Diceros bicornis minor: one gene and its partner. The protein of the gene in region 1 interacts with the protein of each later gene in a pairwise test. Links are inferred from orthologs where the notes say so. Each region holds a gene or a part of one and is shown on either strand. Other genes may lie near its edges.

What was found.
Region 2: the proteins of ESR2 (region 1) and NCOA6 interact in a two-hybrid assay, tested with the Homo sapiens proteins (3 studies listed by BioGRID). The link is inferred for Diceros bicornis minor from reciprocal best matches to the Homo sapiens genes ESR2 and NCOA6.

What each region holds. Positions count from the first base shown.
Region 1 is NC_080763.1:13,369,578-13,385,314, reverse strand, and holds the start of ESR2 (estrogen receptor beta), read left to right. Parts: upstream 1-9,731; 5' UTR 9,732-10,048; intron 10,049-15,737.
Region 2 is NC_080758.1:24,783,038-24,798,986, forward strand, and holds the start of NCOA6 (nuclear receptor coactivator 6), read left to right. Parts: upstream 1-10,003; 5' UTR 10,004-10,168; intron 10,169-15,729; 5' UTR 15,730-15,834; intron 15,835-15,949. UniProt on the Homo sapiens protein: Nuclear receptor coactivator that directly binds nuclear receptors and stimulates the transcriptional activities in a hormone-dependent fashion. Coactivates expression in an agonist- and AF2-dependent manner.

The DNA of each region.
Region 1 (15,737 bases):
AGATGAGGGAGCTGGGATGGAGATGAGGGAGATGAGGGGAGCTGGGATGGAGATGAAGGAGCTGGGATGGAGATGAGGGGAGCTGGGATTGAGATGAGGGGAGCTGGGATGGAGATGATGGAGATGAGGGAAGCTGGGATAGAGATGAGGGAGCTGGGATGGAGATGAGGGGAGCTGGGATGGAGATGAGGGGAGCTGGGATGGAGATGATGGAGATGAGGAAGCTGGAATGGAATGAGGGCAGCTGGGATGGAGATGTGGGGATCTGGGATGAAGATGAGAGGAGCTGAGATAGGGTTGGGCGAGGAGATGAGAAGGAGAAAGTTCAACTGCTCTTTCTGCTATTTTGCCTAGGGCTGGTTGGATGGAAGGGGAACATTTTAGAAGGTAGACTTGGCAGTGAGAGGGAGGTGGGCTTTCTGCCCAAAAGCTTAGAGGGGGACCCTGTGTATGCTGATACTTGAAAACATGGGCTTTGGATTCAGACAGATGGGCTCAAATCCATCTGAGAGTTTAGTACTATCTGACCTTGGGCAAGTTGATTAACCTGCTTGTGTCTCAGTGTTCTTTTCTGTAAAATTTAGCAGAATAATAGGACCTATTTTATAGGATGATTGTGAGGACTAATGAGGTGTCATTCGTTAAGTACTTGCTAGTATGCCTAGCATACTGTAAGTAAATTAGTTATTGGATAATTTCCTCTCCAGACCAAGAACAAATCATCTGAATAAAGACTCCATATATCCTCTTTAACCTAAACTCAACCAAGCCTATTTCTCTTCTTACCCTGAGGCATTCTGACTCTAGATAACAGGTCTTTGAAGCAAGAAAATTACTGAACAGGGGTCTGACTCTACCTTGCTCTAGTCTAGACGTCCTTGAATCTTCCCCTCACATTGCCTCCAGAATGATCCTTTACAAGGTGAATCTACGTGTTACTTTCTACTTGTTGCCTACAGAATAAAGCAAAAGCTCTTTGGCTTGGAATAGAAGGTCTTCCTTGACCTGGCCTCTGATGACCTTTCCTGCTTCCACTAGCACACTGCATACTTCTAACTCAGCACTGATCTCACGGTATTGTATGTGTATGTGGATTTCCTCCTGTGTAACTGAATGTAGGACCTGCCTCATTCATTTCTGTCTTATTAATTTTCAATGTTTGTTTATTTTTTGTAAGGAAATATCTTCACATGGTTCACAACCGAAAAAATACAAATGGAATACAGTAAAAACTCTCTCCTATCTCTGTTTTACAGATATTCTGTTCCCTTTCTAGAAGGGAACCAGCTAATGTTAATAGGTTTTTTTTTGTGTCTTTCCAGAGATATTTTATGTGAATATGTGTATGTGTATTCTTTCTTCCTCCTTTATAAACAAATGGTAGCATATTAGTCATACCATCCTATACTCTGATTTTTTTCCCTTAATAAGTCTTGGCAATCTTTCCATCTCAGTATATAGCGAGTTTTCTCATTCTTTTCTGCCATTGCAGGCTGTTATTCATATCTTTATACCTCAACATCTGATACATAGTTAAGTAAATGATAAATATTGAATGAATGAAATAGTGAATGAATGAAAACAAAAGGACGCTTTTGTGCTGCTATTAGAAATTAGCTGAATAAGCTACCATACATTGTTTCAACACATTGCACATATCACACATAATGTAGATAAATCATACAAAGCCCTCTGATTTAACAACGAAATCTGACTTGTCTTATTCTTTCACATCCATTAGAGGGAGACATGAATCTGTTGTGTAAAGCCAACAGTTAGAGTCTCTAGAAAATCTGAACCAACAATAATAAATAATAATAAATAATAAATCTACCCAGGGCAGGAGGTTCTAGGGATGATAAAGGAAGTTAACTGCAAGAGGAGAAAGCCCCTGGGCTAGGAGTGAGGACACAGGTGAACTCCGCTCAGTTACTAACAGCAAGACAGATCAATCACCTTTGCTCGGCAGTGTGCTAATAAACCAGCTCAATAAAAAGTCCTCCTATACAGAAGTCAAAATATATTGATGTACACCTGAAATTTATGTGATGTTATAAACCAATGTTACCTCAATAAAAAAAAAGTCCTGCTGTGTATGTAGTGTTTACAGATTCCCTAGAGAAAAAGATAATATTTAGAGTGAGCCATGAACCACAAACCAGAGAGCAGCCGAGAAGTGGTCACATCAGTCACTGCCCTGTGTTCTGAAGGAAGCTGACCTGAGCCCTCTGAGCTCCTCTCTGGCCAGGAGAAATCTGTAGTGTAACTACTCACATGGCCAATTTCAAGCTACGATTGGTTTAATAACTGAATTACAAATTCGTTGGATATTTAACAATCAGCCCTCCTGAGCCAGTGAGAGCAGGCTCCTGCACATCGCTGAGCCTTATTGGGCCTTAATTACCTTTCCTGTGTAATGGGGATGATAAGTCACCCATTATGCAGATTCCATTACATAGTGGACAAATAAGCACTTTGAACACTTTAAAGCAGTGTTTCCCAAACTTCCCTGATCATAAAATCACCCAGTGTCTTGTGGAAAATGCACATTTCCAGGACCTGCCCCAGAGCTACTGGTGCAGAGCCTGCTGGGGAGGAGATGGCTGGGAATCTGTGTTTTAAACAAGTGGCTCAGGTGACTTTTATGCTCCAGGAATGTGGGGAAACACTAAGTTAGTCTTACAATTGGGTCACATGTCAGTGGGTCTTTCTCTGACTCACCGCATGTTGGGCCTGCCTGAAGAGATGTATGCCGAGTTCCAGGACCAGCTCCAGGCGAGGTGTTCACTTTCTCTACTACCTCCTCCACCCTCACAGCCTGGACACCCCTAGTCAGGAAACCTACCCCTCGGCCTCTCCCAGGCCAAGTCTTCCCTGCATCCACGTAGCCCTTTGTTCCAAGAACTGCTGGGTTGTTGTAAAGCTCTCACTTATAGAGAATTTACCAGGTGTCAGCCATGTTATTATTCATCCTTTCTTTTCATCCTCACAACAATCCTATCAAGTAGACTCTTGTGCTTTTCCTGTTTTACAGAGGAAGATCGAAGAGGCCAGGAAAATGTTCAAGGGCATAGAACTGGTAAGTGGTTGGTCTGAAAATCCCTACGCCCCCCTGACCCCCAAGCCTGGCTCCATCCTGGGCTCCTCTGGCCTGCGTGCACCAGTGCCTTTGTGTTCTCCTCCTGTCTGCAGAAGTCCTGGGCGGCAACTGCAGTTTCCAGAGGCAGAGTGGAGAATGAGGGATTCCAAGGGAGGGAATGCAGTGCTGGGCCTGCGCACCTGCAGAATTCAGAGGAGACACCAGAGGAGACCAGCATCCTCATGTCTGAAATTCAGTCAGCTCAGGTAACAAGCTCAAGCTTGGGGGTTAATATAAATCACTCTCTAAGAGGAACCCAAACATGCAGGGAAGCAACTTCTCATCCTCTGAATGTCCAAAAACTCCCAATTTCCACCATTTGTTAGTCACTTATCATTTCTAACAGGTATGGTAGATCATTTCTTAGGCATTTGGCTTCTCTCCTCTACAGGAGTCTAAAGCCTTAGGGAGATCAGCAGTTCAGAGAGAACAGGCGTTAGAGTGAAACAGGTCTGGTTTGAACCCTCTGCTCTTACTAGCTGTGTGATACTGGGCAAGTCACTTAAACTTTCTTAGTCTCCTCATTTGTTAAATGGGAACATAAATAGTACCTACCTGGTGAGATGTTTTGAGGATTAAATGAAATAGTGCGGATAAAGGGCTTACGAGCAATTGCTGCATGAATGTCAGTCACCTCCTCCTCCTCCTCCTCCTCATCTGAAAGCAGACACCTTCACATTCTCTTGTGTCTCAGGTAGGCACTTAAAGCATTATTGTTTTTCAGCATTAAGGGGGCATATTCACAAAGAGATAAATGCATGAGGGCAAGAAGCATTCTCAAAGAAGACTGTTTTATGAAAGAATAATGTAATGTTGAATGTCAGAATAATTTTAAGGTGAAAATAACTCAAGAAGCTGTCAGTAAGTTTCTCCCTCCAATGGTACTTTAGACTGAGATAGGGTGGGAAGGGTAGAGGGAAGGGATGGGGTCAGCTGACACAGCCTGTGGATACTAGCAGTAGCAGCATGGCGGATATGCAGAGACCCCAGTGCCAGGAACGCAGGAAATGAATTTCCCCCAGGAGGCAGTTATGGATGTACATAATGAGTCAGATGACCTGGGTTTCTATAACTGTAAATCTGGAGAACTCACTTAAATTTCCTTATCTGAAAAATGGGGATAAAATCAACATCACAGAGCTGGTGAAAAAATGAAGCATGGCCTGGCCACGTAAGTGCTTTGTTAATTGTAAAAGTCAATGTCATCCTAGGGCAGCAGTTCTCTTAGTAAGTTGTATCTGGTGGATGGTAGATCATGTGGGAGCAGGCTAAGGAAGCATATGGCCTGAAGTTGGGCAAAACCATGAAGGAGGGATTAGTGAGCAAAACTGCCCGGACAGTGGAGATGTAAAAAGAAGAGGAAAAAGGGGAGAATGCAGAGATCCTAGTACACTGGACAACACTGGTGAAATCTCAGAAGCTGTGTGAACTGCTTGGAGAAGTTCACTTCCTGGCTGTAATTCCCAGCAAAAGAGGGGATTGCATAATGGAGAAGACCGTTCCTTTCTCTGGTTAGGCTCATCAGATCAAGCAATAACATATGTGAAAGGAGCACCTTCTCTCTGTACACAAAAGGTGGGGTCTGTATGTTTATAAAGCCATTAATGCAATGTGCATCACTGGAGTGTTAGTTGATATGGGTCTAAAGGAAAATATGAGACATTTCTAGTAACTTTCCATGATATGAATGAAGAACTTGACAATGTCAAATACGTTTGTGAGAAGTAGAAAAAACTTTAGTCAACTTTTTTGAATTCTAAACTCTATGGAATCAGTCTTATTAGAATCCGTGGCCTCTTAAGCTATGTCTGTCTATACCCTATCTCCTTGTTGACCTCATTTCTGGGAATATTCCACTGTCTGACCTGTTATTAATATTATCTTATTCTGTGCCAGAAGAGGTAAGAAAGTTGCATTTCCAGAATTGCATTTGAGTCATTTGTGAAATTGAATATTACAATTTGCCACCATTTCTAACAGTTCTTTAACATTTTCTTTCTCAACTGGGTGTTCACATTGATGCCAGTGACCTCCAGGGGCTAGTTTCTTTTCTAGCTCAAGAGAGAATTGCTGCAATCAGAGTTGGGACTGAGGACAAGAATGTATATTCTTCATGTTGTTTGATTTCAAATGAAGAGAAAATTAGAAACTCAAGATATGCAAGAGATTTGTGTAGAATTTAAGTACCTTCGAGGAGCAGTAGACAGGATAAAAAGTTATGTTACCTGTATGTTTGCAAATGTCAAGACTGGGACAAAGAAGGATGACTTGTAAGGAGCTGGCTGACATCCTTGCTGCCCAGCTGGTTCATTTCCACTGCAGGTCAGAGTAACCTTGTCCTGTGGTCTGGGTGCCCAGGTGTCAGGTTAGGTCTATCTCACTGCTTATGTCCTTGGTCACCTTACTAAGGGCTCCAAACACTCGTCAGTAAAGATTGTTATGTAAATATGCACACAGGTGGTCATGCCTAGACAAGAACTTGGCAAAATTTCATTCAGCAATATCTGGGCTCTACAGGACAAATATGCCCCAGTTTACACAACAAACAAGAAGAGCATCACAGGGTAACAGCGGAGAAAGCCAGGGATTAGCAGGTAGGTAAACAACATTGGGTTGGCACTTTCACTCTGCACATCCACACGGGTGACCTTACAAAACAAACGTCATCTTTCTGAGCCTCAGTTTCCCCGTCTATAAAGCAGACACAGCCACAGGGAAGTTATGAGGATTAAATGAAAGAAAAATGAACCAACCTGCGCAAGCCTGCCTACTGTGGCGCCTGGGCTGGAAAGATGCATAAATATTAGGTTCATTTTTATTTCCACAAAAGACATGGTCCTAAAGAGCTCTACCCAAATTCCACTTTCAAATATCAAATTCTGTTTTATGAACCCTGGTTTATGAGCAGCTGAGATAACCTCTGACCTATCCCATTAGTAATCCCACCTTTCCAATCCAATGCCATCAAATAAAGGTGTTATTACAGGTGCAACAAGCTTTTCTCTCCTCTTTCATTAATTCCTTAAGTTTAGGGTTTCATCCCTCACATCCCCTTAAAACAGACCGATTTATACCCACATGATATGAAGAATGAGCCCAATCCTGTTATACTCGGGAGCAGGTAAGAGCATCCCAGGACCTGAATCCTCCCACTTGGCCTCAGGCTCAGAAGAGAGAGTAACACTCCAAAGCCATCCTATAGCGTGACACTCTTCTAGTCATTGGTTGGAATCCTCCCTCCCCTCCACTTTTCCACATCAGCTTTTGCTTTCTTGCCTTCTACAGGGTTTTATTTGTTTGTTTTGCCTCTAAGTAGTTTCTTTGCTACAGAAAATCCCTCCCCTTTCCCTCTGATCCTTCCAAGTGGAAGCCTCCAGCAGGTATTTGTTGAATGCCTGGGTTATACTAGGTGGATGCTATGGGTACTAATGCTACCGTGTGGGATGCTGGAGATATAAGATGGGCACTGTACAGTCACAGCACAGGCAGTGTGGACAGGTAGGATGAGCGGTGTGCAGGGAGCAGTGTGCATGTTCTGCTGGGCTGTCGCGGTCTTCACTTTACTCAGGCTCTCGGCTTTGGGATGGGTAAGACTTCACCAGACAGAGAAGGGGCAGGACGAGAGGATGAGGAAGATGCACCCTGATGGAGAGGGCTGCCTTCCTCCTACAGCAAAATGTACCTGTCCTACGCTGGCTTCCTTTGTTTTCCCAGGTGACATTTAGCTCATCTTGCAAGCTCATCTCATTAATGTAATCATAAATGCTACTAAATTCATATGACCCATCATATATAACATGATTGAATTTTAACAATCCAATGCTTTAACCCCAAAGGATGGCTGAATGGTGAGGATTTCAGTCCCTGTTGTAGGGTATTTTGGGAGAGGAAGGCCTTTTGATGTCACACCACGTGGGTGCTTCCTAGGCAGGTCATGAGTGAGGCGGAAATGAGACTGGGACCCTGCTGAGCAGAGGCACAACCCTCAACACTAGATTTCAGGGTGCTTTTTGATCTAGCCGTGGTATTAACTGTCTCAAGAATCTCTTCTTAGTTTTTTTTTTTTTTACTTATTTATTTTTTCCCCCAAAGCCCCAGTACATAGTTGCATGTCATAGCTGCACATGCTTCCAGTTGCTGTATGTGGGACGCGGCCTCAGCATGGCCGGAGAAGCGGCGCGTCGGTGCACTCCCGGGATCCGAACCCGGGACGCCAGCAGCGGAGCGCGCGCACTTAACCGCCAAGCCACGGGGCCGGCCCTCTTCTTAGTTTTGATTATGGTTCAGGGAGAGTTGGAATATTCACCCTCCCCACTCACTGCATTAAACCAGGCGAAGGTTCTATCCCTCAGGTGGCATTATTTTTCTCCAACCACAGGGTGAGTCAGAAGGAAACGTACTCACTCCCATTCATTCTCTTTGCTTAGTATTTCCTGCAAGCAGGTTTCCTTGTGGAACAAACAGCTTCTGTGGGTGTGTGAGGGTCTTTAAAAAGAGAACATGCTGTTCCCATGAGTGGAACGCCTTCTGAAGGAAGCAGCACAGCAAACACGGAGCTCTGGTTCCGGGGCTGAGCAGCAGCTTCTCTCACAGGGGGCAGGAGGCTTAGAGATGGGGCTTGTCTGCAGGAGACACAGTGTCCTGACGTTCAAGCCATCTTCATTTCCGACTGATTGCAGTCATGGTATGGAAGAAAACAGAGTCTTGGGCTCTGGCCTGGGTTCAAGTCCTTCTCAGCCACTGACTGGCCATTTTCTCAACCATAAAGTGGGGATAATTAATCATAGAATTTACCTCATAGTCTTGTGTATAAAATGAGACAACATGCAGAAACTGGAGTGTGGCTAAGTGCCAACAAGTGGTAGCTGTTCACAAGGCCATTTTTGCTGCTGGGTTCCTGTCTTACTATGTGTGGCTTCAGGAGGATGATACGAGTTCTGTGAGCCTCAGTTTCCTCATCTAAAAAGTAGGGTCAATCTTACCTGTGCAAGCACTTAGCTGATTCTCTGGAACGGTGTAGATACTTGATAGACGTCAGTTTTCTTCACCTGCACATCATCTTTGTCTGCCTGTTGGCTCATGACAAATTCCTTCATAATAATTTCCATTCCAGAGGTATCTTGTTAACAAGTAAGTACTACTTGTTATGGGGACTAGGTACTTGGAGAGATACCCAGGAGAGGGAACAGGGAAGCTGAGACTGGCAGAGATAAGCATCTTGTCCTCTACAGTCCTTCACAGCGGTGGATCTGGTCAGCTACACACCCTCTTGTCCAAACTCGCTTCTCTGCCTCATGGATCAGGAAACTGCCTTAACAACTTGAGAGAATCCAGGAGTCTTGGCTTTAATGAAAAATTGGGAGGAGGGGGTAGAGGTTTCTGATAACCATTGTTTATAAAGTTGAGCCTCTCCAGCACCTGTGGACCTCCCTCTTGTAAACCCAGAGAACGCTGGAGTCCCTCCAAGCTATTTTTGGCTAAACCCCAACACCAGAGGCTGGCACTATAAAAGTTTCCCTCCAAATGCCCCTTTGGTCTTCCTCTACCAGAGACCTAGAGTCACAACCACATCAAGAACCATGTCCCTTATGCCATGTGTATGGATAGTTTGATGACGGATTAGGCACAAATGTGGCACAGGGGTCTCACAATTGCCTATGGGACATCTGCTACCTTCCTTTCGATTTTTGCCATCAACGGCTGCTCTAAAGCCCATTGCTTCTTAACGACAGCCATATGGTCCTAATCATCACACTGTGGGCTACTGCGGGGGGCGGGCGGGGGCGGTGATGAGGAGAGCTTGGGGACGCTGCAGAGCCGGGGGAACTGGAACTGCCACTAGGGGGCGCTCCCTGCGGCTTGAGCTCGACCGAGCGCCACCAGGCAAGAGGGGCGCCGCCACCCCGGAGCCGCAGATTTTCCCCCGGGTGCTTCCTGGCAGGAGGTGAGTTTGAGGAGGTTCCTAGGACCTTTGCTCTAACGCGAAAAGGCCCTCCCAGTCAGCCCCTGAGAGCTGAGAACCCACACCCTCCACCTCCAACCTTGGCAGCGTGGCTTTGCGTTTCCAGGGGCACGAGGCTGCGCTGGCTGCTGGGGATTGGGCAAATCCAGATCCTCTCTGGTTTCACCACTCGATTCTTAGAGTCAGACTTGTGTATTTAATGAAGCATCCAGCCCCTCTCAGACCCACGTGGGTCAGGGTCTAGGGATGCGATCCTCGAAGTGTGGTCGCGAGCTCGGCAGCTTCAGTTTCAGCATCACTCCGGACCTGGTCAGAAATGCACATTCTCAGGCACCGCCCTAAACCTAAATCGGAGACGGGGGGCGGGGGAGGGAAGAGATGCCAGCTGTGTTTTGCTACCCCTGAGGTGACTGCGAGGGGCTCGAGGGTGGCAGCCCCTGCCCTGGGGCTTCCGCCTTCGCGCAGGTGAGTGTGGATCGCCAGGCAGGAGTCCAGGTCCTCCGAGATCTCCGTGCCGCTGGCTCGGTGGTCACGTGTGCTCTTGGATTTTTTTTTTTCCCCAGCCCGCCTCCTGGGTCTTTAAAAGGAAGAAGAGGCTCTTCGTTAAGTCGTTTGTGATCTTCGCAGTGTCTCCAGCTGCTGTCCCTGGTGACACCCATTCCCTCGCCCCGGCTGCTAGGACGCTGGCAGGGCTGAGGCTGCGAGAACCGCCTCTGGAAACTTGCAGGGTGGAGAGGACGCGCGGGAACCGGGCAGGAAGGGCCATCCTGGGCTGCGACGGGCATCCCAGTGCTGCGGGCGAAGGCTGGCGATCCGGGTCTGGGCTGCGCGAGGTCCGCGCAGTGTCCGCAGCTGGTGGCCGCGGGCCGGGTGCGGGGAACAGAACTACTCCGGGAAAAGCACATGTGCGCGTTTCAGAGATTGCTAGGCCAGTGTTTACCTGCAAGGTAAGTGCCCCTTTGCTCGAGGTGTGATTTAATTCTCTTGATTTTCTGTTTGAAATCTCCGAGATGATTTTGCTAATATCCATGTCTTTTTAAAAGAAAAAACTCCTCTGGATTTTCTCTGTGGATTTCACGACAATGGGTGAAGTGTGACAGTGGGAAAGTTGGACCAGGCGCTTCAGGCTTGAGTTTTCTGGGCCTGGGAAGATGTATCACAGGCAGGTGACCGGTGTTTTAAAACGTAGTAACTGCCATTCCTAAGTCATATCAAAAAGCAGAATTACTTCTTTCCTGGGCAGACTGAGCAAAATTAAGATCTGGTCTGTTTTATTTGCTGAAGAGAAACACGCCTGCTGCTCTCTTGACCCTTCGTGTTACTTTTCATGCCAATTCATATTGGAAGTATACAATTTAGTGAAGGGAATATTATTTTTGTGAAAAACAAAACTTTGGATTTGAGTGGATTTCTTAGGAAAATAAGGTTGACTCAATTTTACTAGCTTTTTAAAAAGCAACTTTGTGCTTTGGTGTGGTACACAACACTTTGGAGGAAAGCATCTGCCTTATTTTGTTAGATTTCTAGTATTTACATGGGCATTCTGTTAGGAATTTTTACTTTTGTTATAAGTTTCTAAACCCACAGTGGCTATTTTCCTCTGTGTGTGGGGAACTATGTTATTGAAAAAGGGAACATGTGAAAGGAAAGGTTTGTGCTGTGAGTATTGTAAAAAGTAAATGCACTGTGACTATGAAAAAAAATGACTCTTTGACTCATTTTTTCTGTAGAAAATCTATATGTTTCTGCATACGTTTGACAGGAAGGAAAATGTAAGGATCTGTTCATCAATAGGTGTTAAAGCATAAATCTTAGGATTCTATTTTATGTTCAAGCATTTTTTTTCAGTTGAATTAGTGAAACATTCTTGCAGCCAGTCTCCTATAACACTTAAGACCTATAAATCTTCGAAATCAATTAAAAACATATTTAGGACAGATTTCACAGTGGTTCTGAGGGACTCAAATGAATCTAATCACCTTTTACATTTCTCAATTTATTTATAATATGGAATAGGTAAAATTTAGTCAATTCAACTCTTAAAAATATAATTAGCATTTAATAGATATTGATATGTCCATTTTTAAGAATACGACAGTGCAATTTTCTGTGTGTATTCAAAATACATCTTGTAATAGTTTTAGTTCATGTTTTGAGTCATTTTATACAATATCTATAAATAATAAAATATATAAAACACTGAAAGCTGAACTTGAATCATTTACTGGTAGGTTTTTTGATAATTACATTTAGAACCCTTGAGAAATGTATACTTGAATATTAGACTTCATAATTCAGTGCCTAGCACATTGTTCTAGACATAATAGCATTTTTGAAAAGTCAGACTTACTACAGTATAATTTCCATACAGTAAAATCTTGCCTCTTCAGGTGAACCCCTCTATGAATTCCGACAGTTGCACACAGTTTAATAATCACTTCCATCATCAGGACAGAACAGTTCTGTCACTCCCCAAGTCCCCTTTGTGCCTTTGGATTCAACCCTCTCCGTCCACCCCAACCCCTGGAAATCACTGAGCTGTTCACTGATTTTATAGTTTTGCTCCTCAGTATTTTTTTACCTAGAAATAATTATCTTCCTTTGCTCTTCTCAAAAGAAAACCTCGGTTCCTCCTTTTTGATGGAATGAGTCAGGTTGTGGTATTTTTGTTTTAATCCTGTATAATTTGGGGTAAATTAAGGCAAAGAGAAAGCTATTTTGCAAATGGGAAACTAGAGACTGGAATTAAGTGTTAAATTCATATTGGGCTAATAGTTTTAATTCTTAGCAATTTTATATTCCATTCTAGTTTAAGCCTTGGGTTATGATAGGCATCATTAGTTATCCCAAACTGAAATATAAGGTCATTTAAAAATATTCATGTAATATTAATAGAATGTATTGTTCCTTTATAATCTTGGCATTTAAAAAATACTTTTACTATACTTGGGATTAAGAAAGTTTCCTGAAAATTACATATTATCAAATAGTGAGGAGCAAAAGAGTGATTGAAAATTACAATTTGGAGACATTTACAATAAAATATAGAATGATTGTGACTGCTTAAATTAAAATATTCTTCTTAACAGGAGCTAAGTTCTGTGCCCAATTTATTTGTAGATGTCAGGGTTTTTTCATTTCTGTGCTCATGCTTTGGAATCTAGATTTTCTTGCAGAACACAGATGCACAATCTTTTGTAAACTAATGTTCTTTACTGTTTAATACATTGTTCAATTTAGTAAACAGGAGACTGTTATTTTTAGGCACTCCTAATAAAGATATGTCAGATGATGTCTTTTTCCTTTGTGCTGTGAAAAACAAGAACCTATATTTTAAATATGCAACTTACCTTTCAGAGACATGGCAGTTACTAGGCTATGCAGAGTGGCAAGTTTATGAGGCACAAGCAAAGTGCGTAGTTGGCGTTCCTAGCCGGAACTGTTACAGCTCTTCGTAATTAAGGGCTTTTAGCAGGGAATATTTGTGTGGGTGTCCTTGAGTGAGGGTCACTTGGAAAGGCAGACTACTGGACTTGTGTATGTTTCCTCAAAGCAGGACTGCAACCGTTTGTTGGTAAATGTTTTGTGTTCAACTGTCAGACCAAGGACTGGACTGGGAGTTGACTATATTCAGTTTAACTTCTGCATTGGTCAGATCCTCTTGAATCTCTTCACCTACAACTCTCTCCCACCCTGCCCCAAATGAATATGTGAACATGGTTCCCTTTCCTAAGAGTGGGGCATTGTCTCTGACTGTTGGTATCGGGAAGGAGCAGAGACTGGCTGATGAGAGAATATTGTTGGGCTTCTCCCCCATACCCCTGCCTTAGCGTGTCATAACGGAATAGAGGAAGAGGCTCTGTCCTCTTCCTCTATTCAAGCCTTTGAAATTCTGCTTCCAATCTAGCTCAGTAAACTCCAGTGGGCTACTAGGGGAATTAGGTTTTTCTCATTTTGGAAGATAGCTGTACCATGTTCTTAAGAGTTGCATGTCAATTGATTATTAATGAACAGTTCTATGGTGATTTTCAAGTGGTTTTCTTTATTCCTAATTAATATTAAATTGATAGAGAGCATTGATACTTTGTTTTAGAAAAGATACATTTAAGGCCAATGATTGGCAAACAGTCACACACATCAAGGATATTTGACACTTAAGAAATATTTATCTTTTCCATGAAATTCCTTCTAGTGTCTGCTTTGTGAGTGTGATAGACTTCTGTGGGACACACAAATGGGAGTGTTTGAACTGAATGCTTGGGGAAGTGTGATGGGCAGGCTTGAGAATACAGCAAAAGAAGAATGTGGCATTTTGTGCTCCACACAGTGGTAACAGGCTACTAGCAGCCCAGCTATTTGGACTGGTAGTGAAGGATTGTCAAATAGGAGTTAAGAAAGTAAGATTAGGAGGCAAAAGTCTTCAGGGTGGCCCTAAAGGTATTTTAACTTAAATTGTCTAGAAATTCTGCCCAACACTAGAGGTGTATTCAGTGGCATGCCAATAGACGACTTCATTCATCCTCTTGGATATGTAATAATACCTTACAGGATGCTTTCACATACATCATTTCACTTCAAGCTCCATGCACGTGAAAAGGTGCAGCCCATGTTAGGTCCTGTTTCTACTGAAGAAGATGTGGAGGCTCAGGAGTTCACGTGGTTTGTCTAAGATCGCCTGGCTTTCAGGCGGAGCTGGGACTAGGACTCCATGTACTGCTCTGTCCACTGGGCCAGAATATACTAAAAACAGTCCTGCTGGGGACTGTCTTCTTGGTCTTTAATTAGATTTGATAGATACTTTGATAAAATCAGTCTACTCTGTCGGGAGTGTTTTTCTGCCATTTCTAGGGCCTTCCTTTTTCTTCTCCAAGGAATCACCATCAATATTTGCAATTCTATAAACGTGTTTTCTGTGTAAGAGCCATAATGTGTTCCCCGGCCAATGTGTTAGAACACTGTGTATAATCCGTGTGTACCAAAAGCTTTCCCGCTGAATGCAGACGTGACCGGAGAGGGTTCAACACAAGTGTGTGTGCTGGGGGGTGGGACAGGAGAGAAGTCTCTGAATAGAGACAAGGGCAGTTCATCACGAAGGATATGGGCCAACTGTTGTAGGCTACGGTGACTAATTAAAGAAAACTGACATGCAAAGAAATGATTAACTCTCAGAATCAGGATGTCCGGGTGCGTGTCCTTTTGTTGGCCAGGAGAAATTCCATGCCTGCCAGGCCCAACAGTTAAACTGTGTGGAGACTCTGTTTCCCTATTGTCCCAGATAGTGTGGTCACTGATGCTCGGGTGTTCAAGCGAATGTGCTGGGAAAATCCTGTCCTACGATGTTGAAGAAATTTGTTCATTTTGGGGATTCTCTCTTTCAACCAGTTTATATTGCTGTTTTAGAGGAGGACTACTCAAGTAACCAGAACAGGTATGTTTTTCACTTTATAAACCTCTAGTGGAGAAGACATCCCTTTTGCTACCTGTTCACCTATCTCTCAGGCCTACTGCAATGATTTCAGTGCATCACCCTTTGTTGTGTCTTCGCTTATGAAGGAAAACCCTTTGCATTGGCTACAAGTTACTAATTATCTAAGATGCCACTGACAAATAGTAGTCACGTAAATCTGGATACATCTAAAGGATATCCAACCAAAAAGCAACACAGCCTTTTCATCACTGTCCAGCAACCAGTTCTCTCACATTAATTACTATTGGACTGGACATGTATGGAAATTCTAGAGAAGTTGTTTGGCGTATATATGCAAAATCTGTATTTTCTAAGCAAAGTCACCATAGCACCTGATTGGTTGCCTGGATGAATCCTGGCATTTGCCATTTGGTGACATGTGTCTGACAGGTCATTTTAGCGTTTCTAGGCCAAGAATGAGCATTTCAGTTGTAGGTGAAAATGAGTGAAGGGATTGATTCTCTGTTCCTGAGCGAGATGTCATATTCATGTTATATTGTGTGTTCCTCTTCGAACTGGATAGTGGGAAGTGTTGTTTCAAGTTCATGAATTTCCATACTATATTCATCACTTGATGTCAGTAGAAGCTTTATGTTTTTAAGAGGCCCAATGAAAGGGAAAGACAGCAGTGGTTTCTGATAGTTTGGTGTGTTGGCTTTGCTGAGCTCCTTATGCTAAAATGCTAAATACATTTCTTTGGGGCAATGTAAAGTTGCGACAACATGAAATTCAGTAAAATCTTGATTGACAAAAATGTTCAGAGAATGCTTTTTTGTTTAAGCAATTTAATTGAGTTTTTCATTAATTGAGTTTTAAGTTGAAGTCTCTTCTTCAAATTCTTCTTCTAAAATTCACTACTTTCCTGCTTCTTAATTTCCTGAATGTAATTTAATCTTCATTTGACAATTGAGAGTGTTGAATTTATCCTGATATAAGTTTACCTTGAGCAGTACTCTGTGTAAGAAAGTTGGTGTCCTCACCGTGGTAGCCACACTAGCCTTTGGATGTACTTTTTATTTATTAAATTGGGTAAGCCATCTTATTGTCTTATACTCTTCTTTAGAGTTCAATAAATATAAAATGTGATTATTACCTCCAGGTTACATTTTATTACACATAAATACAACTTGTTTTGCGTGTTACTGTATTTTGCTCTCAATTGTTATAAT
Region 2 (15,949 bases), on another chromosome or scaffold:
ATTCTTGCATGCATGTATCCATCCATTATATTCTAGGCACTTTGCTAGGCATTGGAGATTCAGCAATGAACAAGACAGACAATTTTTTATGGATTTTCAGTCTACAGGGGGAGTCAAACCTTAAAAAAATAAGGACACAGATAATTAGGGTAATTGCCATCATGATAGGCTCTATGAGGGATGCTATGAGAATGTATAACAGGAAAGTTCATCTAGTTCAGGGGTGGGGTGGGATTAGCAAAGGCCTCCCCAAGGAGGTGATGAGGATGAGTAGGATTGACAGAAAAGGATTAGATGTGGGATGTGAGAATGTCATTTTAGGTAAAGGGAACAATATGTGCAAAGGTCCTGTGATAAGAAGGAATGTGTTGTTTTAGGAGGTAGAAAAATGCCGGTGTATTCTTCCTAGAGTAGAGGTGACAAACTTTTTCTGGACAGGCCAGATAGTAAATATTTCATGCTTTGAGGCCATATGGTCCCTATAGTAAATACTCAACCTTGCTGTTGTAGTGCAAAGGCAGCCACAAACAATATGTAAACAGATGGCTGTGGCTGTGTTCCCAGAAAACCTCATTTTATAAAAACAAGGCCCAATTTGGCCTATGGGCAGTAGTTTGCTGAGCCCTATTCTAGAGCATACTGAGAGGACAATAGTATGAGATGAAACTGATGAGGTAGGTACAACATCCTTATGAAGCTAGTGTTAATTTCCCCATTTTATAGATGTGGAAATTGTGGTTCAGAGACATGAAGTAACTTGCCTAAGATCACCCAGTTGATAGCTGGCAGATCCATGTCTCAAAAGCAGTCTGTTTGACTCCAAAGATCATGTGTCTCTCTTCTTTAAAAAAAAAAAAAAACAACTTTCTTATTTTATGTGGTTACAGATGTAATAGTTATTCAATCAAACAATTCATAAATATATAATGTAGATGATCCATGACCTCAAAATCTCAACTTTCCAAAAATCTCACTATCAATAATTTAGTATATATTCCCCCAGCTTCTTTTTTATGTAGATATAACATATTATTATTCCATTTAAAAATAAAAATGGGATTATATTATTCACAATCTATAACTCCCTTTTTTTTTTTTTTTTTTTTTACTTATAGCCATACTTTACTACTGATATAGCATGGGCATTTTTCCATCTCAATATCAATATATATGGATCTACCTAATTATTTATAATGATGTATCATAGTTCATTGAAGGGTTTAACCAGTTTCCTATTGATGGATATTTGGGTGGTTTCCAATGCAACTTTGAATATCCTTGGCCTGATATCTTTAGGTGCCTGAGCCACACCTGTGGTCATAACAACTCTCCTAGGCTCTCTTTCAAGTAATGGAGTTACAGGACTTTCCATGCAGCGTGCTTTTGAGAGTCATGTGGTCCCTTGGGGTCATTTCCTTTCTTAAATATACAAATAATGAGACCTTTTAATAAAAGATTTCTTCAATGGAACAATTCTTGTATATTAAAACAAAATTCTGATATCTAGTAAAATCTGTTTCATTACTCAGTATGTGAAATATCATATTTTATTTCACAAATATTTTCTAAAGTGTCTACTCTGTGCCATGCACTGCCCAAGGCACTGGGCACACTGGTGAACAAGTCAGGTCCTTGCTCTCCTGGACTTTATAGTCTTAATCACTTTTACTTTATTTACATTGTACTACCTTGATCTACCATAGAAAACAAAATTCACCTCACATTAAGAACCTAACTTTTGCTGGCTATGAAATGAAGAAATAAGAAGCTTGGAAATTTAAAGAGTTTTCATGATATTCCCTCAGGCCTCAAATAACCCAAAGATATAGCTACTTGCTTCTTCAATTGGATATTTTTGGTATTTCCTTCATATCTTGGGTAAGATATGAAGCTTCCTGATTTCAAAACTTACTACAAAGTTACAGTAATTAAACAGTGTGGTACTGGCATAAGGATAAACATATCAATGGAATAGAATTGAAAGTCCAGAAGTAAACCAATATACCTATGGTCAATTGATTTTTGACAAGAGTGCCAAGATCATTGAATGGAGAAAAAATAGTCTCTTCAACAAATGGTGCTGGTACAACTGGACATCCACTTACAAAAGAATGAAGTTTGACTCTTACCCACACCACATACAAAAAGTAACTCAAAATAAAACTCTTAGAAAGAAACATAGGAGTAAATTCTCACAACTTTGGATTTGGCAATGGTTTCTTAGATATGACACCAAAAGCACAAGCAACCAAAGAAAAAATAGATGAACTGGACTACGTCAAAATTAAAACCTTTCGTGTGTCAAAGGACACTATCAAGAGAGTGAAAAGACAACCCAAAAAATGAGGAAAATATTTGCAATCACAAATCTGGTAAGGGTCTAGTATCCAGAAAATATAAAGAACACTGACAGTTCAACAACCCAATTAAATTATGGGCAAAAGACTTATAGACATTTCTCCAAAGAAGATCTACAAATGGGCGATAAGTCTCTGATAAGATGCTCAATATCATAAGTTGCTAGGGAAATGTAGATCAAAACCACAATGAGATACCACTTCACACCCACTAGGTTGGCTATAATAATAATAATTTTTAAAAAATAATTTTTAATGATTTTTATCATTAAATCATTAATTTTTTTCATTTCTTTAATAAGGTAAACATAGAATTACCATAGGACCCAGCAATTCCACTCCCAGAGATATACACCAAAGAATCCAAAACAGGTGTTCAAACAAAAACTTGTACATGAATGTTCATAGCAGCACTATTCACAAAAACCAAAATGTGAAACAACCCAAATGTCCATTAATGGATGAATGGATAAATAAAATATGGTATATTCATACAATGGAATATTATTCAGCAATAAAAAGGAACAAAATACTGATACATGTTACAACATAGAAGAACCTTGAAAACGTTATGCTAAGTGAAAGAAGTTAGACACAAAAGGTCACATATTGTATGATTCCATTTACATGAAATATCCAGAATAGGCAAATCTATAGAGACAGAAAGCAAATTAGTGGTTGCTTAGGGATGGGAGAATGAGGGGTTGAAAGGAGGGCAATATTTATTTATTTATCTATTTATTTATTTATTTTTGAGCATTTCACTTTATAATGTTTTATATGTTGATGTTTTATTTATTTATTTATTTTGTGAGGAAGATCAGCCCTGAGCTAACATCCATGCCAATCCTCCTCCTTTTGCTAAGGAAGCCTGGCCCTGGGCTAACATCCGTGCCCGTCTTCCTCCACTTTATATGGGACGCCACCACAGCATGGCTTGACAAGCGGTGTGTTGGTGTGCGCCCGGGATCCAAACCCGGGCCACCAGCAGGGGAGCGCGCGCACTTAACCACTACCCCACTGGGCCGGGAGGAGGGCAGTATTTAAAGAGTACAGAGTTTCTTTTTGAGGTGATGAAAATGTTCTAAAAAATTCACTGTGGTGATGGTTGCACCTATTGTGACTATACCAAAAACCATTAAATCACACACTTTAAATGAGTGAATTGTGTGGTATGTGCATTGTATCTCAATAAAGCTGTCAAAAAAAGACATGGGTTTTGGCAATATCAACTAGAGCTGATATACTCTGATATGCAAACCCTGTGACCCAGCAATCCTAGTTTTAGGTAAAAATCCAGAAAATTGTACACATGTTCCTCCAGAGACAAGTATAAGAATGTTCACAGTAATGCTATTAAAAATAGACCTAAAGTGGAAACCTAAATGCTCATCAGCAGTAGAATGGATAAACTGTGATATATTCAAATAATGAAATGCTACACAGCAATGAAAAGGAACATATATAATGTTCTATATATAATGCAACAATATAAATGAATATATATAATGCAACATATATAATGCAACAATATAAATGAATCTCAAAAACATAAAATTGAGCAAAAGAAGCTAGACTCAAAAGAGTACCTTCTGTATGATTCCATTTATATAAAGTTAATACCTAGAGAGCCTAATCTATGGAGTTAGAAGTCAGGATACTGTTTACCCTCAGGGGTGTTGGTAATGATTGGAAAGTGGGCATGAAGAGGCTTTTGTGGGGCTAGTAATGTCCTATTTCTTGATTTGGATGTTGGTTAGATGTTCACTTTGTGAAAATTCATCAGGCTTTACAGTTATGATTTGTGTATTTTTATGTCTGTATGTTATACTCCAATAAAAAGTTTTAAAATTTCAGAATATTTTTGAAAACACATTTTCAAGTCCTAAGAATATTTCTGCTTTGTTTTTGGTCACTTCTTGATACTCTTCAATTTTTTTCAGTTGTGTAGTTATTATTCTATTTCTGTTTTTCAATCTTTTTTTCCTAAGAGCAAGCCATTGCTTGCCCATTTTAAGCCTTTATGCAAAGTAGAAGTGACCCTTCTTCAAGGCACTTTATTTCCTATTGTCTGAAAATTGTTGAACTGATTTTGTAATAATGAGGCACTTTACTGCCATCTAGTGGTAAATTATCACAACGAAGTTATAAATTACATTGTCTACCAGCGACTGGCACCCACTTAGATGTGATGTCCTCCTGCAAGACACAACTTGCCCAACTAAATATGGTAACCTTGTTGTTTGACACTATTGTGATGGACCCCGCAGACAGTAGAATGTTGACGCTCTTCAAGTGGTTTTGTTCTTACTTTTTTTTCCTGTTTGATGTTGTTCTTAAAGACATGGTTCAAGTATTCACGATCAATTTTATCACTGCAAAGCTTAAGCCTATTTGGACAAACATATGAAAGTTGAAGTCCAATAAATGCTAATCAAATTGCTCATATCAAAGAACAACTAATTTTCTTTTTCTTTACCCAAGTCTGAATCCAGAACAATCATGAATATCTTAGGACTGCTTTTCTTGCTCAAAATATTCTGTGAAACAGCCTGAGAACCTCTTCAGAGGCCTATGTTAACCTGCTTCTTGTTGAGTCATCACAAACGCTAGGCACTCTTCTAAACATTTTATATCTACCAATTCACTTAATCCTCTATTAACTCACTTAACTTATTTAACGAATCCTCATCTGTAAGGTGCCCTTATTATCTGCACCTTACAGATGAGGCAACTGAAGCACTAAAAAGTTAAGTTCTATTATAAGTGATAATATTACAAAAATACCTTCTTCGGGGAGCTTACAGTCTATTAGGGACACAAAACAAAATAAAAGGAGTGTAAGGATTTAAATACAAACAAAATAAAAAGGAGAAAATACTTTGGACACTGTCAGACAAGTCCTTTTTCTTCTTTTGGTCCCACTTTCCTCATCTGTATAACAAGGAGGTTGGATTTGCCCAAGGTCACAAAGCTAATAAGTGACAGAGCTAGAATATGAACTTGGGTATTTTGGCATCAGAGCCCAATTTTGTAGTCGCTGTGCTCGTCTTAGTGCCAGTTCATGGCCTGTTTCTGTTCCTTTGCTGCCTTACTGTGGGCAACAAACATTTATGTTGCCTGTGCTCCTGCTATTTTCACCTACCGGATGTGTAGGTGCCCCTGTCTCCTAGCTTCCTGCATCCTTGCTAATCCAAGGAAACCCTATGACCTTTGGGGTAAGGAATGGATAACAAGGTGAGAAAATGAGGATGGTGGCTCAGGTTCTGGCATGTTTTTTTGAGGAGTGGAGCCACAGTAAAATAGAGCCAGAGCAGCCATTTCAGATTTTCTTTATCTTCCAAACTGTACCAAACCACCAACATTCCAAGGAGTCAGTAAGGACAAGAATATCCTGTCTGTAAGAACTGATGGACCTGGACTTTGTTGATGACTGGATAGCTAACCAATCAATGACGTACAAATGTAGCCTTTTGCCTGATGATTGACCCTCAGGCAAAGTACAAACCTAGTCTCACCTCATCCAGCACCAATGAACTCTTCTTTAAGATAGTCCACTTCAGGGGCCGGCCCCGTGGCTTGGCGGTTAAGTGCACGTGCTCCGCTGCTGGCACCCCGGGGTTCGGATCCCTGGTGTGCACCAACGCGCGGCCTCTCAGGCCATGCTGAGGCCGCGTCCCACATACAGCAACTGGAAGGATGTGCAGCTATGACATACAACTATCTACTGGGGCTTTGGGGGAAAAAAAAAAATAAAAATAAAAAATTAAAAAAAGATAGTCCACTTCATCCTCCCTTTTTCCCATAAAAACCCTAAGCCCCTCTCCTGTTAATGGGAGACTATTTGGGTTTCTACCTGAATCTGTGCTCCCCAAATTGCCATTCTTTGATCTCAAATAAATGCTTTGTTTCTTAAATTGGTTTCTGTTTTTGTAGGTTGACAGTGGGAAAATATATATAACATAAATTTTGCCATTTTAACCATTTTTATGTGTACAGCTCTGTGGCGGTAAGTATATTCATATTGTTGTACAGCCATCACTACCATCCATCTCCAGACATTTTTCACCTTCCCCAACTGAAACTCTGTACCCATTAAACAGGAACCTTCCATTCTTCCCTTCTTCTAGCCCTTGGCAATCACTATTCTACCTTCTGTCCCTATGAATTTGACTACTCTAGGAACCTCATATTAGAGGAAACATATAATATTTGTCCTTTTGTGACTGGCTTATTTTACTTAGCATAATGTCTTCAAGGTTCATCTATGTTGTGGCCTGTGTCAGAACGTCCTTTCTTTTTAAGGTTGAATAATATTCAATTGTATATATACGCCACATTTTGTTTATCCATGCATCTGTCTATAGACACTTGGGTTGCTTCCACCTTTTGGCTATGGTGAATAATGCTGCTAGGAACATGGGTGTAAAAATATCTCTTTGAGTCCCTGCTTCTACTTTTTTTGGGGTAGATATCCAGAAGTAGAACTGCTGGATCAGATGGTAACTCTATGTTTGACTTTCTGAGGAACCACCAAATTGTTTTCCACAGCTGGTGCGCCATTTACATTCCCACCAGCAATGCATAAAGGTTTGAATTTCTCCATATCCTCACACCAACACTTGTGATTTTCTGTGTTTTGGTTGTTTTTTTTTTTAATAATAGCTCTCATTGTGGTTTTGATTTGCATTGCCCTAATGACTAGTGATGTTGAATGTTTTTTCATGTGCTTATTGACCATTTGTATGTCTTCTTTGGAGAAATGTCTACTCAAGTCTTTTGCCCATTTTTAAAATGGATTTTTGTTGTTGAGTTTCTAGAATCTTTCAGAGCTTCCTTTCTTTTTTTTTTTTTTTGTGAGGAAGATTAGCCCTGAGCTTACATCTGTGCCCATCTTGCTCCACTTTATATGTGGGACACCTGCCACAGCACGGCTTGATAAGCAGTGCATAGGTCCGAGCCTAGGATCCAAACCCGCGAATTCTGGGCTGCCGAAGCGGAGCGTGCGAACTTAACCACTGCGCCACCAGGCCAGTGCCTTTCAGAGCTTTCTTACCTCTAGAAATTTTTGTGAGACTTGGAGTTGTGTGGATGATGTCTTCTCAGCCCCTGGGCTGCCTTCTGGCAGGACCCTTGTCTCTGGAGGATGAAATAACCAGAGTTTCTCATTCAGTCTTTCAGATTAATTAATTAATCAAATAATTCATTAATTGTATCATTATCCAAAGAGTCACTCTTTGGATAGATCAGATTTCCAGGCTAACACAAAAGAATATGTGCTTATATATTTATGTGAAGCTCAAGAACTGTCAAAGTTGATCTACAGCACTAGAAGTCAAAATAGTAGTTATCTCTGGGGGAGCAAGTATTGACTGGGAGGGCACATACTGGAGGAAATAAAAGGAACTTTCTGGTTTGATAGTTCTGTAACTTGATCTGGCTGGTGGTAACACAAGAACATAGGTAAAAATTTATTACTTAAGACGTTTGCATTGTGCTGTATGCTAATTATACCTTGCTTTCTAAAAGTTAAAAGAAAAAGCTTTAAAAAAACTTTTTTCTGATGGGAGATTCCTCAAAGAATTAAAAATAGAGATGCCCTATGATCCAGCCATCCCACTACTGGGAATCTATCCAACGAACCTGAAATCAACAATCCAAAGAGGCTTATGCACCCCTATGTTCATTGCAGCATTATTCACCATAGCCAAGAAGTGGAAGCAACCTAAGTGTCCCTCGACTGACGACTGGATTAGGAAAATGTGGTATATATTACAATGGAATACTACTCAGCCATAAAAAAAGACAAAATCGTCCCATTTGCAACAACATGGGATGGGCCTGGAGCGTATTATGTTAAGTGAAATAAGCCAGAAAGAGAAAGACAAACACTGTATGATCTCACTCATATGTGGAATATAAACCAACACATGGACAGAGAAAACTGGACTGTGGTTACCAGGGGCAGTGGGGGTGGGCACAAGGGGTGAAGGGAGTCATATATATGGTGATGGACAAACAAAAATGTACAACCCAAAAATTTCACAATGTTAGAAACCATTAAAACATCAATAAAAAAAAAAAAAACTTTTTTCTGGGCTCTGATAAATCCTTTTGGTGTTAATTTCACAGGCTCCAAGGCCTGAGGTGCCCCCTTGTGGCCGCCTGTGGTTCTCTTAATTTTTCTCGGCCCTCTTGGGCCCAGCACCTAGCACAGTGCCCAGGATTCACACAAAACAACAAATACTTATTGGGGCCTTCTCTGTGACAGGCACTGTGCTATGTGCTGAGGAAACAGCAGCAAACAAGATGGTTAAAGTCTCCTTCCTTACGGAGTCCACAATCTAGTGGTGAAGACAAGGAATAAACAGCCTAGTGCCTCCTAATGAGGACAAGTATGAGAATCTGCCTGGGGAGTGGTCAGGGAAGGTGTCCTTGGGGTATCCATGTTTGAGCAGGGATCTGAAGGCTGTTGAGTTATCTCTGACGGAGGAGAGCATTTCAGGCAGAGGGATCAGCATGTGCAAGGGTCCTGAGAAGGGAGGCAGTACAATATGTGAAGAAGATGATGGCAGTTACAGTCTAGAGAGAGTGGAAGAGGGCCCTGAGAGAAGTCTGAAGATGTGGGAAGGCAACAGTAAGATATTTATTTGGCCTTTATCTCAAGAGCAATGTGGAGCCATCAAATAGTCTTAAAGAAATGAGGGACATGATCAGATTTCTGACTTTGAAATAATACTCTGACAGCAGGATGAAGAATAGATTGCAGGGAACCAAGGAGGATGTGAAAAGGCCATGGATAGCTACTGCACCAGTCCAAGCACACAAATAAATATTTGTGGAAGGACAGGACTCCAGACTCCTTTTTGTAGATGAGACCAGTATGCCTGAGCTGTGCAGTTTACAATCCACCTGCTCATATTCTATCTTCTGTGATGCTCATAACAGATCCTTAACTCTCATTTTAGGGATGAGAAAGTTGAGGTTCAGATGCAAAAGAAAATCACAGCTATCAAGAGTGAAAGCCAGATCTGAATCCAGGCCTATATGACAGGTATCAAGCCCAGCGCTGGTGAGGGTTCCCTACATTTGGGGAGAGGGGAGGGGCCGCACTCCCTTGTTCACGCAAGAATTATTTTATTGAGCACCCACTGAACTTGCAAGCCTGACGGTAATGGGAAAAGTAGAGAGGAGCTTATAATAATAATAAAGGTTAACTATCTTTATCACCATTAACGTTATTAGACACTATGTGTCAGGCACTGTGCCAAAGGCTGTCCATGCCCTTATTTCCTCTTCGCAAGCGCTATTATTATCCCCATATTTCAGATGGGTAAACTGAGGGTTGGAGAGTTGCCTTGCCCAAGGACACTCAGCCAGAGGGCTCCTATAGGGCTGTGCAGAGCTTCCCAAGTGAGGATAGGAGCCACCGCCGATATTACAGTGCCAGGCGGCATACAGAGATCCACTGGATCCCGGCCCTAAGCACTCTGCACCCAAGTGAGCGGGCGCGCGCTCCCGGGGACGTTTGGTCACGTGACCCAGGGCCCCGCCTCTGGGTCCGCCCCGCCCCTCCCGCGCTCCCTCCCTCTCGCCCTCCCTCCCCCTCCCTCCCCGGCCCGGTCCGGCCCATCCCCCTCCCCGCCGGCTCCCCGAGGCCCTGCCGGGTCGGGCTGCGGGCGGCCGGGCGCCGACGGCCGGAGAGACGGGCGCACGCGAGGACGGACGGACGGACACACGGAGGGCCGCGGGCACGCACGGCCCCGGCCGGTGCTCCGAGGCCCGCCCGGGAGGGCTGGGGCCGCGCTCAGGTGAGGTGACGGCGACGCGGGCCCGTAAGGGGTGGGCCCACCGGGCGTCCACGGTCCCAGCCCGGCTGGCGCCGCTGGAAGGAGGTGCCGCCCGGGCCCGGCGCGGGAAAATGGCGCCGGCCGACCGTGGAGCACGGCCCCAGTGCGGGCCCGGCCCGGAGCCGCCCCGCCCGCCGCGCTCCTGTCCCCGTCGCCATGTTGGGGAGCGGGCCCGGGGCCTGCGGGCGGGGGCGCTGGAGGGAGCGGGGGCCCGGCTGGGATTGGGGAGGGTGCGGGACGCGGGGTCCGGGGCGCTGAGGGAGTGCAAGGCCGGCCGGGGTCTGCACGGGGTGGCGCTCCAGGCCCGAGGTACTGGCGGGAGCCGGACGTGGGGTCGTGGCCGGGGTCGCGGAGAAGGGACACTGGGTCCACACGGAAACGGGATCGGGGTCCGTGGGGCTGGGGGACCAGGACCGGGAGCTGTGTTAGGCTATGGGCAGTGTTAGGACCCCAGAGCAGGTAGGACCCGGAGGGGCGTGGGGTCCAAACTCAAGCTGTCAGGGCTGGGGACACTTCTTTGGTGGTGGTGGGAAGAGTGTTGGTTAGAAATTGGGCCCTTTGGGTACAGACGAGGATAGCAGATTGGGGCAGTCGTCGGAGTCGCGGGGCTGGATTGCAAGTCCGTGTAACTCCCAAGGGACTGAGGACATAGGTGCCCCGAGGATCCTCCACTCCCTGCTGGGGAGAGCAACAGGAAAAAGGAAGGCTTTGATGAGGAAGGGGGAGAAGGAGGGCTGAGGTTTGGATGAAGGAGCTGGTAGCAAAAGGGGTGCAGAGAGTGGAACTGGTTGGCAAGAAGAGAGAGAACCTCCATCAACTTAGGGAGTTTGTGTGTCTTTAAAAGGAGGGACTGGGCTGTTTGTGGGCGGTGACCCAAGGTGTCTTCCCAGGAAGGGGACAGCCCACTGTTTTAAGAGCAGGGTCACCTGGGGAGGTCATCAGAAAGGCGTTATTGAAGCTAGTAAGAATGATGAAGAGGAGTGAATATATAAAAACTACAAGGGTCTTAGGGATCCTGTAACAGTTTCAGATCATGTAGTGACTTGAGCTGAGACCTAGAAAGAAAAAGTTGACTTCTCAGGATCTTACCGATTAGTGGCAGAGGGGGTCTGCTGCCTCCTCATTCCATATACTACCTTAGAGGAATTTGTTAGTTGGGAAAAAAGTGTGAAGTCAATCATGGCAGTATAGATCAAAGAACTATTAATTAATTTTGTTTTTGTAATAAGATTGTCAGTACAAAGACTGAGGGGGATACAAAAAAGTATAGGTAACTAGCTATTTGATAATTTCTAGCCCACCTCCATTTGTGCCAAGAAATTATCTGCAGGACACTTGTGACTTCTAACTTTCTAGAGTTTTAAGAGAGGCTCCTTCTCTTCTAGGTGTTTACTACACAGCAAAGGGACACAGAAAGCCTAAAAAGATAACCGTGAACAATGGTAGAGACCTAGGATCTCTATCATGATCAAACTTTAATTGAGGTTTGATCATGATAGAGAAGAGTTCAAAGTTCATATGGGCTATGAGAGAGTTCTGAGGGAAACTATGCAAATCAGTCATGATATAGTAGTTCCTGGGCTCCCATATAATCAAAAAGGACTTTCAGCAAAAAGATTATGAGGACGTTCATAGCAATAAGATTTTCAATATACAGTATATTCAATACGTATATGCCATACATTTATACAGCAACAGGATTCATTTGTTCTGGATCTTTCTAATGCAAGAAGGCCTAACCTTGTCTGTGCCATGGGCCCCTTTAGCATCTAGTGAAGCTTATGGGCCTCTCTCAGAATTTTTTTTTTTTCCTCCCCAAAGCCCCAGTACATAGTTGTATATCATAGTTGTAGAGTTGTAGCTCTTCTGTGTGGGATGCCACTTCAGCATGGCTTGATGAGCATTGAGTAGGTCTGCGCCCAGGATCCATACTGGCGAACCCCAGGCCACCCAAGTGGAGAGCGTGAACTCAACTGCTGCACCACTGTGCAGGCCCTCTCTCAGAATATTTTTAATTGCATAAAACAAAATACACTGGATTACAAAGAAAACCAATTATGTTGAAATACAGTTACCAAAATATACAAATTTTGATATAGTAATATAGAGATACTTCTTTATCAGCACATTAAGAAATCAGATCTAGTGATGAGTCTGATAATTACAATTTTTTTATTGATGTCATAATAGTTTATAGCATTTCGAAATTTCAGTTGTACATTATTGTTTGTCAATCACCATATAAATGCACCCCTTCACCCCTTGTGCCCACCCCCAACCTGCTTCCCCCAGTAACCACCAAACTGTTCTCTCTGTCTGTGTGTTAGTTTATCTTCCACATATGAGTGAAATCATACGGTGTTTGTCTTTCTCTGTCTGGGGTATTTTGCTTAGCATTATACCCTCCAGGTCCATCCATGTTGTTGCAAATGGGATGATTTTGTCTTTTTTTTTATGGCTGAGTAGTAGTCCATTGTATATATGTACCACATCTTCTTTATCCATTCATTTGTTGATAGGTACTTGGGTTGCTTCTACGTCTTGGCTATAGTGAATAATGCTGCAATGAACATAGGGGTGCGTAAGCGTCTTTGGATTGTTGATTTCAAGTTCTTTGGATAAATACCCAGTAGTGGGATAGCTGGATCATAAGGTATTTCTATTTTTAACTTTTTGAGGAATCTCCATACTGGTTTCCATGGAGGCTGCACCAGTTTACATTCCCACCAGCAGTGAATGAGGGTTCCCTTTTCTCCGCAACATTTGTTATTTTTTGTCTTGGTGATTTTAGCCATTCTAACAGGTGTAAGGTGATGTCTTAGTGTAGTTTTGATTTGCATTTCCCTGATGATTAGTGATGTTGAACATCTTTTCATGTGTCTGTTGGCCATCTGTATATCTTCTTTGGAAAAATGTTCATATCCTCTGCCCATTTTTTTTTTTTTTTTTTTTTGTGAGGAGATCAGCCCTGAGCTAACATCCGCCAATCCTCCTCCTTTTTTGCTGAGGAAGACGGCCCTGGGCTAACATCCGTGCCTATCTTCCTCCACTTTATGTGGGACGCCGCCACAGCATGGCTTACCAAGCAGTGCGTCGGTGCGCGCCCGGGATCCGAACCAGCGAACCCCGGGCCGCCGCAGCGGAGCGCGCGCACTTAACCGCTTGCGCCACCGGGCCGGCCCCTGCCCATTTTTTGATCGGGTCGTTTGTTTTTTTGTTGTTCAGTTGTGTGAGTTCTTTATATATTATGGAGATTAACTCCTTGTCGGATATATGATAGGCAAATATTTTCTCCCAGCTGGTGGGTTATCTTTTCATTTTGATCCTGGTTTCATTTGCCTTGCAGGAGCTCTTTAGTCTGATGAAGTCCCACTTGTTTAGTTTTTCTTTTGTTTCTCTTGATAATTACAATTTTAAAGACATGATGAGGGCCGGCCCCGTGGCTTAGCGGTTAAGTGCGCGTGCTCCGCTACTTGCGGCCCGGGTTCGGATCCCGGGCACGCAGTGACGCGCCGCTTCTCTGGCCATGCTGAGGCCACGTCCCACATACAGCAACTAGAAGGATGTGCAACTATGACGTACAACTATCTACTGGGGCTTTGGGGGGAAAAAAAAAGACATGATGAGCATAAATAATATTTTAAGATATCTGCATCAACTGTAATATGATATAAAGATATCTATGATTACTGTGACAGAGTCATAGATGCTGCTAATACTAGAATGGTTTGTTGCCTACATTCATATTTGAAGAAAATGGTGACTTTCAGTTAGAATTTAGTGAAAATAAAGAGGTAATTTTTTTTTCCTATCCGAGTTTATGGACCCCCCCACCCTGAATTCTATCTGTGGACTCCTATCTATGAACCCCAGGTTAAGAAACCCTACTTCTACCACCAAGCATGTCTTCCATTCAACAGACACTTACTGTGCACTGAGACATCTACTGCATGTCAAGCATTATGCTAGGCTCTGGAGATTCAAAAGTCTTTATGGCAGGATCCTCTCACCTTGGATATTCAATCCCATGAGAGAAGTGGACATGTAAACACTGATAGTTCAAGATGGTAAATGCCAAAGGAGAGTTATCAAAGGTTGTAAAGATACAGAGGTGGCATGTCTCTGCTCTAGGAATCAGGGAAGGTTTTGTGAAGGGGCGACGCTTGAGATGTGTTCTGAAAGGTAGAGTTTGCTAGATGCAGAGTTGGAGAGAAAAGCCTTCCAGGTAAAGGCATGCATTTTCAGGGAATGTAAGTGAATGTGACTGGATCACACTGTGTGTGTGTGTGTGTCTGTGTGTAAGGGTGTAAGAGTGGTCAGAGATGAGATTGGGAAGGTGGTTTGGAATCTGGTTGTGAAGGACCTTGCTAAGGAGTTTTGACTGAATCATTAGCTGATAGGGAGGTATTCAAGGTTTTCAAGGAGTTGAGTGTATGGTGAGGTTTAATTTTTAGGAGATAAATGGATGTTCTTTGGAGAAGGGTGGACTGGAGAGCAGGGAAGAAGTAATGAGGGCCTGAACTAAGACAGAGGCTGTGAAGTATTAACAGAGTTAGAATTTTCAGGTATTGATATAACTGACATTGTGAATGGTGAGAGAGAAAGGGAATTTTTTAGATTTCTAGTTTGGGATGGTGGCTGTCAAAGAGGTTAAAAAAAGGTGAAAGGAAAATGAGGTAAGAATTGCCACAGAAAATAAGGGAGGAGATATTTTTTGGTAGAGTAATAGACTTTTGGAAACCATTGCAATGCTGTCAAGTGTGGTGTAGTTTTTGCTTAAGAAAATCGGAAGTAAGTATCAGCAGACATAAAAGGTAGTGAAAGACCTGGAAAATATTCCTAGAGTGTAGGAAAATCACCGCTATCTGTGTCAGGGATCGGCAAACTATGGCATAGGTGAAATCTGGCCTACCACCTATTCATGTAAATAAAGTTTTATTGCAACACAGGCACACTCGTTCATTTACATATTGTCTTTGGCTACTTTTTCTCTACCAATGGCAGAGGAGAGTAATTGTGACAGAGAATATATACTTCAATTACTGTCTGGCCCTTTACCAAAAACATTTGCTGATCGATGATCTATGTATCCAAATGTTCGATCTTCAGCTTCTGATTTGCCATCCAGTTCTGATACGATGGAGAATAATCATTTTGGCTCTGTCCTTCTGGCTGGATCCCCCATGCTCTGTGTACCTGCAACATGACAGGCCCCTGAATATTTTATATTGGTCAGTGATGCCAATGTTTCCTGTTCTGGGGCCTGCTATATGGCACCTGTGGTAACGCCAGATTTTCACAGCTTAGACCATGCTGGGGCTTGTTTTGCCATTTTTCTATTGGGTTGTTTTTTTCAAAAGATTTCTTTATTTTCTGATTATTAATCCATTGTTGATTATACGTATTACAGATATCATTTCCCATTTTGTTGCTAATCTTTTTAATTTCTTTAAGTTGTCTTCTGTTAAAACGAGGTTTTGGATTTTAATAAAGTCAAATTTATCCGTCTTTTCCTCCCCTAGGATTTTGAAGTTATTCTTCATATTATCTTCTTGAATCTCTACTGCTTTGCCTTTGATGTTTAGATCTCTAATCGATCTGGAATTGACTCTTGTGTGTGGTGTGAGGTAGGGTCCAGTTTTATTTTTTCCTATATATGATTAATTATCACAGCACCATTTGTTGAATGGTATTTGTTTTCAAATTGTGAGCTCTTTCTCCTGGAGTCTGTCTGAGGTCCTA